3 linked regions of the Nothobranchius furzeri genome follow. The protein of the gene in region 1 interacts with the protein of each later gene in a biochemical or structural test. Links are inferred from orthologs where the notes say so. Each region holds a gene or a part of one and is shown in the gene's direction. Other genes may lie near its edges.

What was found.
Region 2: the proteins of mcm5 (region 1) and stat1a form a complex in vitro, tested with the Homo sapiens proteins (2 studies listed by BioGRID). The link is inferred for Nothobranchius furzeri from reciprocal best matches to the Homo sapiens genes MCM5 and STAT1.
Region 3: the proteins of mcm5 (region 1) and mcmbp form a complex in vitro, tested with the Homo sapiens proteins (2 studies listed by BioGRID). The link is inferred for Nothobranchius furzeri from reciprocal best matches to the Homo sapiens genes MCM5 and MCMBP.

What each region holds. Positions count from the first base shown.
Region 1 is NC_091752.1:68,041,352-68,045,734, forward strand, and holds the start of mcm5 (DNA replication licensing factor MCM5), read left to right. Parts: upstream 1-1,567; 5' UTR 1,568-1,702; coding exon 1,703-1,875; intron 1,876-2,225; coding exon 2,226-2,352; intron 2,353-2,432; coding exon 2,433-2,561; intron 2,562-2,640; coding exon 2,641-2,813; intron 2,814-2,896; coding exon 2,897-3,052; intron 3,053-3,136; coding exon 3,137-3,306; intron 3,307-3,383; coding exon 3,384-3,555; intron 3,556-3,678; coding exon 3,679-3,790; intron 3,791-3,867; coding exon 3,868-4,011; intron 4,012-4,083; coding exon 4,084-4,149; intron 4,150-4,222; coding exon 4,223-4,383. UniProt on the Homo sapiens protein: Acts as a component of the MCM2-7 complex (MCM complex) which is the replicative helicase essential for 'once per cell cycle' DNA replication initiation and elongation in eukaryotic cells.
Region 2 is NC_091743.1:83,724,180-83,727,783, forward strand, and holds part of stat1a (signal transducer and activator of transcription 1a), read left to right. Parts: intron 1-761; coding exon 762-803; intron 804-2,028; coding exon 2,029-2,118; intron 2,119-2,197; coding exon 2,198-2,296; intron 2,297-2,367; coding exon 2,368-2,503; intron 2,504-2,612; coding exon 2,613-2,668; intron 2,669-2,751; coding exon 2,752-2,846; intron 2,847-2,918; coding exon 2,919-3,058; intron 3,059-3,155; coding exon 3,156-3,344; intron 3,345-3,423; coding exon 3,424-3,499; intron 3,500-3,572; coding exon 3,573-3,604. UniProt on the Homo sapiens protein: Signal transducer and transcription activator that mediates cellular responses to interferons (IFNs), cytokine KITLG/SCF and other cytokines and other growth factors.
Region 3 is NC_091752.1:5,506,677-5,510,509, forward strand, and holds the end of mcmbp (mini-chromosome maintenance complex-binding protein), read left to right. Parts: intron 1-101; coding exon 102-219; intron 220-292; coding exon 293-458; intron 459-538; coding exon 539-672; intron 673-1,116; coding exon 1,117-1,284; intron 1,285-1,361; coding exon 1,362-1,450; intron 1,451-2,969; coding exon 2,970-3,096; 3' UTR 3,097-3,333; downstream 3,334-3,833. UniProt on the Homo sapiens protein: Associated component of the MCM complex that acts as a regulator of DNA replication.

The sequences.
Region 1 (4,383 bases):
TAAATTAAGAAGAAAACTCGAGGCTGTGTTTGTCTTACTGAGATTTATAATTAAGAAGAAACAAAGGTCTGTGATGGACTGGGGACATGTCCAGGGTCCTTTCCTCTCACCCAATGCCTGCAGCTGGAGATGGGCACCAGCTCCATGTCGTCCTAGTGAGGATTAAGTGGATGGATGATTGTGCACAAGTGACTTAGAGCTTGTCCCAAGTGCACAAACCAAAATACAACATGGCAGCACCTGCACACAGGAGTCACTTGATGGGAATAATGTGTCTAGTTTCAATGCAAGTTCATGAAAATACCAAACAGGATCATACCTGCGGTGGTGGAGGGTTGATGGTTTGGGCTTCTTGCACTCATTGAGTCTACTCATCTTTTTTTAATGGTTGAAAAGTGAGTTTATGTCTCTGATGTTTAACCCTCTCAGGCTCAAAATAAGTTTTGATAAAAGGACGAACAACTAAGTCCTTCAGGGGTACTTCTGAGTTCAAAAGTGCTCATGAAATACTTATGTGGAGTAACCAGGTAGGTAGGCTTTAACTGTTGCAGACGCCTGCCTCCAGAGGGTTAAGGGAGTTGTTCTAGTAGGAACAAATGTCTTGTAAGTTGTTCTCGGGGGTGAAAAATATACCGATGCACTATTTATCTGACCTAAAAGTTGCCCACGTTACAGCTGAGCTATTTGGACATCTCGCCCCAGATTGGATGACAGCAACGCGACTCTACCATTGACTTGCAACAATGTTTTATCCACTAATAACACAAGTCTTGAGGAGCTTCTGCTGTGTGGTGCTGCTGCTAATGCTAATGGTTAGCTACATTCTCTGCGGTTTCCTGGACGTTAAACAACAGCCTCCCCCGTCGTGAGTCAAGATGGGTGAGTCCATGAATGTTAGTGACAGGGTGACGTAGATCTGTCAGGATTTTCTAATCCCAGAGTTTCACCGTCTGTTTTCTATCAGAAGCTAAAGCAGCCGGAGATTGGTGTAGGAGATTATTCTCGTGTTCAGCCTGCGAGAAACACGAGTGGCTGATTGATCATAAGTAGAAATAAAAATAAAAGAAGGCTTTTTCAGTGTTGCACTCTTTTAACGCGTTGGAGTAAAGTTGATCATGAAAAGGGACCAAATCCCAAACACAGCTGATCTACAACAGAATGGTGTCCAGAGTCCAGACCCACAAACCAGAATGATGGGAAGTCTCAAACTCTTCCAAAGCCGTGTGAGCCTGAAGCACCCAGACTGGAGTTTTGCATGAAAAAGGTTGAAATATGTTTCTAATAAATGTTAAAGTCTGATCTTTGAAGACAAAACAGCTGAAACGTTTGCGAAAACGAGCTAGATGTTCTCATGGCTCCTCTGCATGTTGAGCTGGGCAGCACGACGCTCCCGCCCCTCCCCCTTTGTGTTTTTCGCGCCACAACAGCGCTAAGCTCCACCTTCCCCCGTAACGTCACGCCTTTTGGAACCCTCTGTGACCAATAGAAAGAAGCCGGATTTAATTCAGCCAATCAGAGAACAGAAGAGGCGTGTAGCGAAACAAGCGGCTCGCGGGAAACAGACAGGAAGCAGATCGTTTTTTCCCGCGAAAGGACTTCGCTCTGGCGCATTGTTCCTGTTAGTGCCGCTCTCTGGGATCGCTCTGTCTGAGAATAAAGTCGTGTCCCAGCTCCGAGTTTTAGTTTAGTGAGCTGCAGCAGGATGTCTGGCTTCGACATTCCCGGAGTTTATTACAGCGACAGCTTCGGAGGAGGAGACGCGCCCGGCGGGGACGACGGCGGGCAGAAGCGGGCTCAGATCAAGAAGCGGTTCCGAGAGTTCCTCCGGCAGTTCCGGGTGGGAACGGACCGCACCGGCTTCACCTACAAATACAGGTGAGCAACACAGACGGCCACAGCCACCAAAGAACTGGTTTTAATAAGGAGGTAAATGTTCGAAGTGAAACGACACAAAATGTTAAAATAAAAGAAGTCTTTATCCGGAAGGTACCTACCAAAATAAGAGCTGGGTGAGGAGATCTAAGGTTTCAGGGTGAAATGAGGCTTTTTTGTGAGTGTGTTCCGCCATCTTTAAGGGAGAGCTACCGCGACCCCCCCTCCCCGTGCCACGCCACACACACACACACACACACACACACACACACACACAAGAATGGGCTCTCTTCACCCTGCTTTTATTTTGGTAGTCTGTCCGGATTGTAACATCTGTCCGTCCTTCCCATCAGAGATGAGCTGAAGAGACACTACACCCTGGGAGAGTTCTGGGTGGAGGTGGAGATGGAGGACCTGGCCAGCTTTGATGAAGACTTGTCTGACTGCCTTTACAAGGTTCCTGCGGAGAACCTGCCCTTGGTGAGTCTTCTGCTGGAGCCAGACCCAACTGTCAGGCGAACCTTTCCAGCGACATCCTCTAACAGATTTTCATTTAACAGCTGGAGGAAGCTGCCAAGGAGGTGGCGGATGAAGTGACCCGTCCTCGACCTGTAGGAGAGGAGGAGGTGCAGGACATCCAGGTCATGCTCAAGAGCGACGCCCACCATGCTTACATTCGCACCCTGAAGGTACCTGCTGACCCGTGTTGTTTAAGAGCCTTGTAGTCGTCGCGCAGGACTGGATTACACTACTTTTCTTCTCGTACAGTCGGAGCAGGTGTCTCGTCTGGTGAAGGTGCACGGGATCATCATCTCAGCCACGGCGGTGAAAGCAAAGGCCACCAAGGTGTGCCTCCAGTGTCGCGGCTGCAGGAACACCATCAAAAACATCGCGCTGCCGCCGGGCCTGCAGGGTTATGCTCTGCCCCGCAAGTGCACCAGGTGGGCGTAACCCAGAGGAGCCGCGCTTTCCCCCGGGCTTTCGGCCATCAGCGAGGAAGCTAACGCACCCCTTTTGTTCTCAGTGACGCTCCTGGGAGAGCAAAGTGCCCCGTGGACCCGTACTTCATCATTCCGGACCGCTGCGTTTGCGTGGACTTCCAGACGCTCCGTCTGCAGGAGTCTCCGGATGCCGTGCCACACGGAGAAATCCCCCGGCACCTGCAGCTGTACTGTGACCGGTAAGGAGGGGCGGCGTGGCGTGGCGTGGGTGTTTGAGCCGGGGCGGTGTGTTCTGCTCACTCAGGTGTCTTCTCTTCTCTCAGGTATATGTGTGACCGCGTGGTGCCTGGCAACAGGGTTACCATCCTGGGGATCTACTCCATCAAAAAGATGGCTGCTGCCAAAGCAAAGGGCAAGGAGAAGGGCATCGGCGTCGGGATCCGCGCGTCCTACTTACGAGTGGTCGGCATCCAGGTGGACACAGAAGGAGCAGGTACCGCTTTACGTCTGCTTCACGAGGCTGGCCTCTAGTCCACCCGGAGAAACGTTCCCCTTCTTCATCCCGTCCAGGTCGTGGTGCCACCGGGTCCGTGTCTCCTCAGGAGGAGGAGGAGCTGAGAGCTCTTGCTGCTTCTCCGAGCATCTACAACTCTCTGGCTCAGTCTTTAGCTCCCTCCATCTACGGCAGCGACGATCTGAAGAAGGCCATCACCTGTCTGCTGTTCGGAGGCTCGAGGAAGAGGTGAAACCGCCACCTCGCCCCATTCCCCCCCCCCCCCCCTTAGGGAATTTTGTGGATATTTAATCTGCAGAAATGTTTCTTATCTGACTTTAATAGGTAACCTTTTTGATTTTCTTCCTCCAGGCTGCCCGACGGTCTCACTCGCAGAGGCGACATCAACCTTCTGATGCTCGGAGATCCCGGTACGGCCAAGTCTCAGCTGCTGAAGTTTGTGGAGAGGTGCTCGCCTATCGGGGTAAGAGAAGCTTTCCCGGAGCTGCTGCTCTGACGCCAGCATGAGGAGAAGCTCAGCGGTGTGTCTGTGACCTTCAGGTCTACACCTCCGGGAAGGGCAGCAGCGCAGCCGGCCTGACCGCCTCGGTGCTTCGAGACCCTAGCACTCGTGGGTTCATCATGGAGGGAGGGGCCATGGTGCTGGCCGACGGAGGAGTCGTGTGCATCGATGAGTTCGATAAGGTAGGACCGACGCCCGAGCGTCAGCGTTAGACCCGGTTCGGAGTCTAAATCTGAGCGGTTTCTGTTTCTCAGATGAGGGAGGATGACCGCGTGGCTATCCACGAAGCCATGGAGCAGCAGACCATCTCCATCGCTAAGGTACGTACAGCTGATGCGCCATCTTGGATGTGAGACGGTTGCCGTGGTATCCTGACGTCCTCGCTTCCTCCAGGCGGGCATCACCACCACCCTGAACTCCCGCTGCTCCGTGCTGGCCGCCGCCAACTCCGTGTTTGGTCGCTGGGACGACACGAAGGGGGAGGACAACATTGACTTCATGCCCACCATCTTGTCTCGTTTCGACATGATCTTCATCATCAAGGACCAGCACGA
Region 2 (3,604 bases), on another chromosome or scaffold:
TCCACGCCCCACGACTGAGCTCTGTCTATAGGTTATGGCCATACTATATGCTCACTTATATAGGATGGCTTGCCGAGCTACTTCTGTTATACTTTGGATTACTCTTCATGAGTCAGACCCGGGGCTGTGAAACCCAGCGTGCTGTGTACATGCCAGGTAGACAAATTCCTAATTAGCAGCTTGTAGACGCAAGACTAAACTCTGCTGTTTGCTGCAATTACAAGTCCGATTTAGATTTACCATTTTGAAAAAAAATGTAAATATTTTTAAGGCGGCAGCAGGTGATAAACAATACATTTTGAAACAATATTTAAAATAACTTGGAAAATGTGTCCTTTTCTCAAATATCGAATTTGATGGTAAGTGTGTTTGATGTATTTTGTATTTTAATGAAAAATACATAAAGTAGCCTGAAATGCATCGCTACAGGCTAAACGCTCTCAAAGTGAATTGATGAGGCACCCCAAAACATTTACTGGCCCCCCCTATGGAAATGTTCTGGGCGCGCCACTGCTTCTGTTCAGTGTTCTGGTGCATTTTCAATTTTTGATTGAGGAGCACTTGAGGATTGTGACAACCCTGATGTAGACGTCTGGTTTTATGAGCCAAAGGTTTCAGGTGGAAGAGACTACGTCTGTGATGGGATTGGGATAGTCCCGATGAGCTGAAAATTCCTTGTTTGTTATGTTTTGCCTCTCAGCCTTTTGGGTGAGACTAAAGATGTAGAGTTGCTTATTTGACCTGTTTTTGTCTCCATTCAGCAACTGAAAGAGCAGAAAACCGCCGGCAACAGGACAAACGAGGTATGAGGCTTCAAACTCCTCTTTATTTCAGTTCCAGAGGTCATTTATTACAGGAACAGCTTACATGTCACAAATTCTTCCGGCTCTTGGAGGGTGCAGATGCTTTTCTCCTCCTCTCCTCCATAACTTATCCTCAAGGCCCTTTGTCTGTCTCTGCGTGCTGGGTGTACGGCTGATCTGCATTTTCTCTGGAAACTGGAAACTGAAATTCACTCAAATGGATCTCGTCAGTTGGTCACTCAACGCGATTGATAAAATCTTTTCAACGATGAGAACGGGAGAAGGGGCTCCCAGATGCCCCTCCATGACAGACCAGCTGTCTGTGGAGGACTCTGAAGATGTGTGGATATTCGTGGTGTTGGTGTCGGGGTTCCTGCTGATCAGCATTGGAGGCTACCTGGCTTACCGGAAAATTAATGAGCTGTAGAGGAATATTGGCTTGATCCCGGGGCTCAGAGATGGATTGCACCACGCTGTGAATTCACAGACTCACATAATTGTCTAGATGAATCGTAAGCTTGGGACTTTGGCCGAGATTCATTCATTGGCACAAAGATGGATGCTGTCAAGGATAGAGTGGACGAATCAGCACGGATTGGGATAGATTAATGCCCATTATTGGGATTTTGAGAGGTTGAGGACCAACAAACTGTAAGACAGAGAGGAAATTATCTCTGTCTGGCCCCAAAACAATTTCTAATAGGAATCTGGCGTCCTTGAGTCAGCAAGGCTCCAATGAAAACTCCCCCCTCAGAAGATATGTGGAATGTGCCGTCGCTCTGGCAACTCAACTCTGTCTTTCCCTCCACCTGAACCAATCCTGATGTAACCCTCTTTTCTCTATTAAGGTAGCACGACTCAGGTTGCAAATGACCACAGTCACCAATTCTTGTCATGTGTCTATGCCCATGTATGTCTGATCTCTGAGTTGTGTGTACTGAAACTCTTAATTTCCCTCTGGGATTAATAAAGTATCTTTGATTTCATGTTTATTATATATGTATGTAAATGTCAGCTTTAATGACAACACAGATGTACAAAATAAAAACTTTTATTTTTATTTTTGCATCACAAACTGATTTGATCTGGAGAGTCAAAACATTTCTCCAACAAACGTCTACGTCTCGTCGTCGTCCAGCTGCTGAAGTGAAGCAGATTTAGTTCTTCGGGTTTGAGATTAATCCCTCCCTCGTCCCTGTCTGGACCTTTGTGTGTTTCTGTTCAGGCGCCTCTGATCGTCACAGAGGAACTCCACTCGCTCAGCTTTGAGTCCGACCTGCATTTGCACCATTCTGGACTCACCATCCTGCTGGAGGTGAGACGAGACACGAACACAACTTCTGCAGACCAAACTCCAGCGAGCGTGTGTGTTGAGGTGTGTGTTTGTGTGTCAGGCCGTGTCTCTGCCCGTCGTGGTCATCTCCAATGTGTGCCAGCTACCCAGCGGCTGGGCCTCCATCCTCTGGTACAACATGCTCACCACAGAACCCAAAGTGAGACCCGGTTCTTCTACCACCGTCAGCCCTGTGTCGCTCTGCTGTTAACAGAACCATCTGTCCTCCAGAACCTGAAGTTCTTCCTCAACCCTCCAGCGGCGAAGTGGTCTCAGCTGTCCGAGGTTCTAAGCTGGCAGTTCTCGTCCGTCACCAAGCGAGGACTGAACCAGGAGCAGCTCAACATGCTGGCTGACAAACTCCTCGGTCAGACACACAAACAGATCCTGGATCAGCCTGTCTGATCTGGTTCTGCTCTCTTCTTTTACCCTGGGTTTGAGTCTTTATATCTGAACGTTTTCGTGTTTCTGTTCAGGAGCCAAAGCTCAGAGGAATCCAGAAGGACTCATCCCCTGGACAAAATTCTGTAAGGTGAGCCCGAGTCGCCCTGCAGCACCTGCTGTCATCCTGTGCTGCTGGAGCAGAACCTGAAGTTCTTGTCGTTTGCTCGGCAGCAAGGAGCCAACGAGAAGACGTTTCCCTTCTGGCTGTGGATCGAAGGAATCCTGGACCTGATCAAACGCCACCTGCTGTCCCTGTGGAACGACGGGTGAGTTGCCGTGATGACGCAGCGCTTCCTCGAGGACGGAATCCAACTGATGGGTGTGTTTGTTGTGTGCAGCTGCATCATGGGCTTCATCAGTAAAGAGAGGGAGAAGGCTCTGCTGAGCGATAAGTGTCCTGGGACTTTCCTGCTCAGGTTCAGTGAGAGCAGCAAGGAGGGAGCGATCACCTTCACCTGGATCGAGCATGACGTCCACGGTAACATCTCCTATGGGGGCCACAATACCTGTCACCTCCGATGAGCTCAAACTTCCTGTTCCTAAAACAATCTACTTCCTGTTTCTCCTCCCCCCAGACAAGCCGGTTTACCACTCTGTAGAGCCGTACACAAAGAAGGAGTTGACAGCCGTGTCTTTGCCGGACATCATCCGCACCTACAAGGTGATGGCAGCCGAGAACATCCCAGAAAACCCTCTGCGCTTCCTCTACCCCAACATTCCCAAAGACAAGGCTTTTGGGAAATACTACCCCAAACCGTCAGAGAGTAAGCCTCACAGCTGCTGCTGAGTTTCATTCAGCTCCAGAATAAAACACATCCTGATCACAGTTTCATCGCCTTCCAGCTCAGGAGCCCATGGACGTGGAGAACACGGATAAAAGCGGCTACATGAAAACGGAGCTCATATCCGTCTCAGAAGTGTAAGCCTTCACTAAACAGACCTGTTTAATGTTGGAATAACCCGAGGTTCTGACTGGTTCTGCTCTGGTCCAGACACCCTTCCAGGCTGCAGGACAACATGATGC
Region 3 (3,833 bases), about 63 Mb from region 1:
AAAATGTCTCTTATTTTTCCCACGCCCCCTCCAGAGCTCAGTAAGTTCCCGTTTTGTGGCTTTGGGGATGCTTTCGCCTGAGTTTGATTCCTCCCTCCCAGATATGCCAGAAGGGATGTTCTCCCCCTGGGAAAGTTCACCTTGAACCTGAGCGGCTGTCCGACCGCGCCCCCGTACGCCGAGCGCCTTTACCAGATCATCCAGCAGCTTGTGCCTTCGGTGAGTCCAGACCCAGAGGTTTCCGTTTCCGTGCGTTCGTCTGCTAATGGGCCTTAAATGATTTTACCTGCAGTCCCATTACCTGGGCATGAGCCTCCAGAACATGAACCAGCTGCGGCTGGTGCCTAAGAAGGACTACATCGCAAACCGCCTGACGAGCGGAACCCTGCAGCTGTCCCAAAACACCTCCCTCTTCCTGGATGAAACCCAGCTAGAGCAGGGACAGTTGGACACAACAGGTGGGACCTCTGCTAGCCACAAGGGGGCAGCACTGATCATCCTAATGATCTGGTAAGCAATCTTCTCTCCTGTGTTGTAGGTGTGCGTAATGTCACGGCCATGGGGAACCTGATCTCGTGGCAGAAGGTTGATTATGACTTCAACTACCATCAGATGGAGTTCCCCTGCAATATTAACGTGCTCGTCGCATCCGAGGGTCGCTCACTGCTGCCGGTAAGAGCCAATCAGGTGCTGCTGCAGACTGTAAACTCTCTCCTGTCTATTTAAGACGCGCACCCCGGTTGGGTTTCCACTAGTTTCTCATGAGACGCAGCCGCGTCAGAAGCTGGAGGTTGTGCTAACAGCTGCCACTGGCCAGCTGCAGACCCCCCTCCGTGCCGCAGCCTTAGCCGGGGTGACGCGCTGCTGCCGGCAGCACGAGGAATGCGCCATGTGCTATTCCTGGATGCTGCTCTAATGAGTTGCCGTGTTGGCAGCTGCGTGCTACAGGAACAATCCAGGGAGTGGCGTCACATGGGGCGATATGCTCACCCCGAGCGCTGTAAACAAACCTGTACATGGCAGCGTTTACGTCAGACTGTTTATGCTGAACCGTGGGCTCAGGCTCGAGGCTTTCTCTGGCTCCTGGGTGAAGTCCTGACGCTTCTATTCCTACAGTCCGACTGTCACATACATCTGCAACCGCAAGTGTCTTCGTCCCACGTAGAGGAGTACATCAGGAGCGTCCACGTCCACCCGCAGGTGTCCTCGCAGCTGAACAAGTTCAGAGTTTATCTGGGCGTGGCACGTCTGCTCGACTACAGCATCTCAGACGACGTGACCAAGGTGAGGCTGGACGTGTGCCAGGACACGGTTAAAGAGCCTTTTGGTTGTTTTTACATCTCTGCTTTCTGCCCGTCAAGTCAGTGGAGGAGGACTTTGTGGAGATGAGGAAGGACGACCCCCAGGGCGTTTCTGCAGAAGATCTCCACAGGCTGCTTGTAGTGGCCAGGTGAGCTCAGACTAGGTTCTCCTCCAAAGTAGAACTGAGTTTTATTAGCTTACAAGGCTGTTGAAGACTAGGTTCTTCTAGGAACCATTTATTTTTTAACTAATTATTTCTGATTTTAACAGTTCACTCTGAGGTTTTTCATGCAGGCTGAACATGATGATAGTCTCCTACACCTATCTCCTGCATTAAGGTTGGTTTATGCTTGACGCGTCCGCGAGGGCCGCACGGAAAAGTTGCGTCATTTTAACAACCACGCCCCTCCACCGCACCTCCGCACGGCCCAGAATTTCCGCAACGCACACCTCGGAAAATTTCTAACCACGCGGACGGACGGACGCGGGAAAACATGGCGGACCGGCAAGATCTAGTATGGCAGAGGTTCGTAAATACAGACATTTGTATGATTCAGCTCTCAGAGATCACCGTGATCAACATGTTGTTAATAATTCTTGGAGAGAAATAGCTCGCACTGTCGGAAAAGACGAGAACGCTGTTAAAAATGCTGAAATGCCATGTTGTAAACAGTAATTTCTACTTCTACTATGGTGTAGTGTTGGATGCATGCCATAGAGCTCCATGCTGCCCCCTACAGTTTGGGAGAATATTGGCTCACCGCAGAGACAAGCCGCACGAACCATAAACGCTGCGAGTTGTGAAGCGCGTTCCATCCGCGAGCCGCATCACCGCGTGGAAAGTAAATGCGTCAAGCATAAACCAAGCTTTAGCTTCTGATAGAAAACAGACGGTGAAACTCTAGGATTAGAAAATCCTGACAGATCTAAGTCACACTGTCACTAACATTCATCGACTCGCCCATGTTGGCTCACGACGGGGAAGGCTGTTGTTGGTTTAGCGTCCAGGAAACAGCAAAGAACGTCTCAGCTAGTAGAAGCTAACTGTTAGCATTAGCAACTCCACCACACAGCAGAACTTCTCCAGGCTTGTGTTATTTGTGGAGATGAAACATCAACGTTGCAGAGCAGTCAGTGGTAGAGTCGTGTTGTTGTTAGCCAATCAGAGCTGTCCAAATATCAGGAATCCAAATCCTGTCGTCTGTAACTTTTTTTTTCTCTGGCAGCCTTCTGTGAGTTTTTGTCCCCGGAGTACGACTTAAAAGGCATTTATTCCACTGCAAAAATATAAAAAAATGAGTAAAGTTGACCAAAATGTACATTTATGTTCCTGAATAACATCTGCACAACAAATGCTCTAAAATCTGTTTTTATTTGCCATATCTGGCCGCTGCTGGTGACACTTACTCCATAAGTTCCACATAAATAAGCATTTATTGTAGAAACCTGAGCGTGAACCGTTATGACAGATCAGTAACTGGTGTTGTGTTCAGCCTAGCCGTTAGCTCATCGGTGCGGTCATAAAAGCCGTTTGTCCAGACTGCGGCTCCTCGTGAAGGTTAACTGAGCGCCGAACGATGCCTTCTGACCGTCGGCATCTAGATTTCCTGTTCAAGATGAGTGAAAAGCTGAAACCCGACTGAGTGTGTGTGCGTCTCCGTCCGCAGGTTGCTGTCCCTGAGCCTGGGACACACGTCCCTGTCCAGAGACAGCTGGCTGAGAGCCAAACACATCGAGACACTGCGAAGGAGCCGAATAGAGCAACACAAGAGCGTGAACGGCAACGAGCCGTGAGCTCACGCGCGGGACAGCTCAACGGTTTTCCTTTTGTTAGAACAGTTTAATAAAGTTTTTTCACCTTTTTGTAAACTAAAGATTTATATATTCCAACTAGAATTAAAGGTATGACTCAATAACAGCCGACTGTTTATAATGTGTAACTGCAGAGCCAACTTCCTGTTTACATTCAGCACGGTGCATTTAACAGTTTGTCTCACGAGTAAATAGATTTAATAAAACTTGTGCAGCTCATGTGTCATCTTTTCATTCCAGACCAAAAAGTGTAAAATGTTCTTTTTATTAACACCCAAAGATAATAAATAGGATCCTTTAATATACAACACATCTGAGTACACGGTGGAGAACAATGTCATCGGTCAGGTTGGTACAGAAGAGGAGACGTGACATCGGGGAAATGTGCTTCAGCAGCGCCAACAGAAAAAACCTGATATTTGTGTCTCGGGTCGAAACGAAAGGACACAAAAAATGCACTTGGTGTGAAAACAAAAGGAGACAAAACAGCCAGCAAATGTGTCAAAGTAAAAAAGCTGACAGCATCAGGAGGAATGCTTTTTAGCACAAGATAAAACGAACCGCTCCAGTGTTGAACCTGATTAAAATTCCCGTAAGCGTTAAAACTGCGCTACAGCTGCAGCTTTGGCAGCACCACGTACTAAAAGCAGCACCTGCAAAGCAGCCAAGACTGAAGTCTCGTGTCACACGAACCAGACAAACAAATCCACGCGTTACCT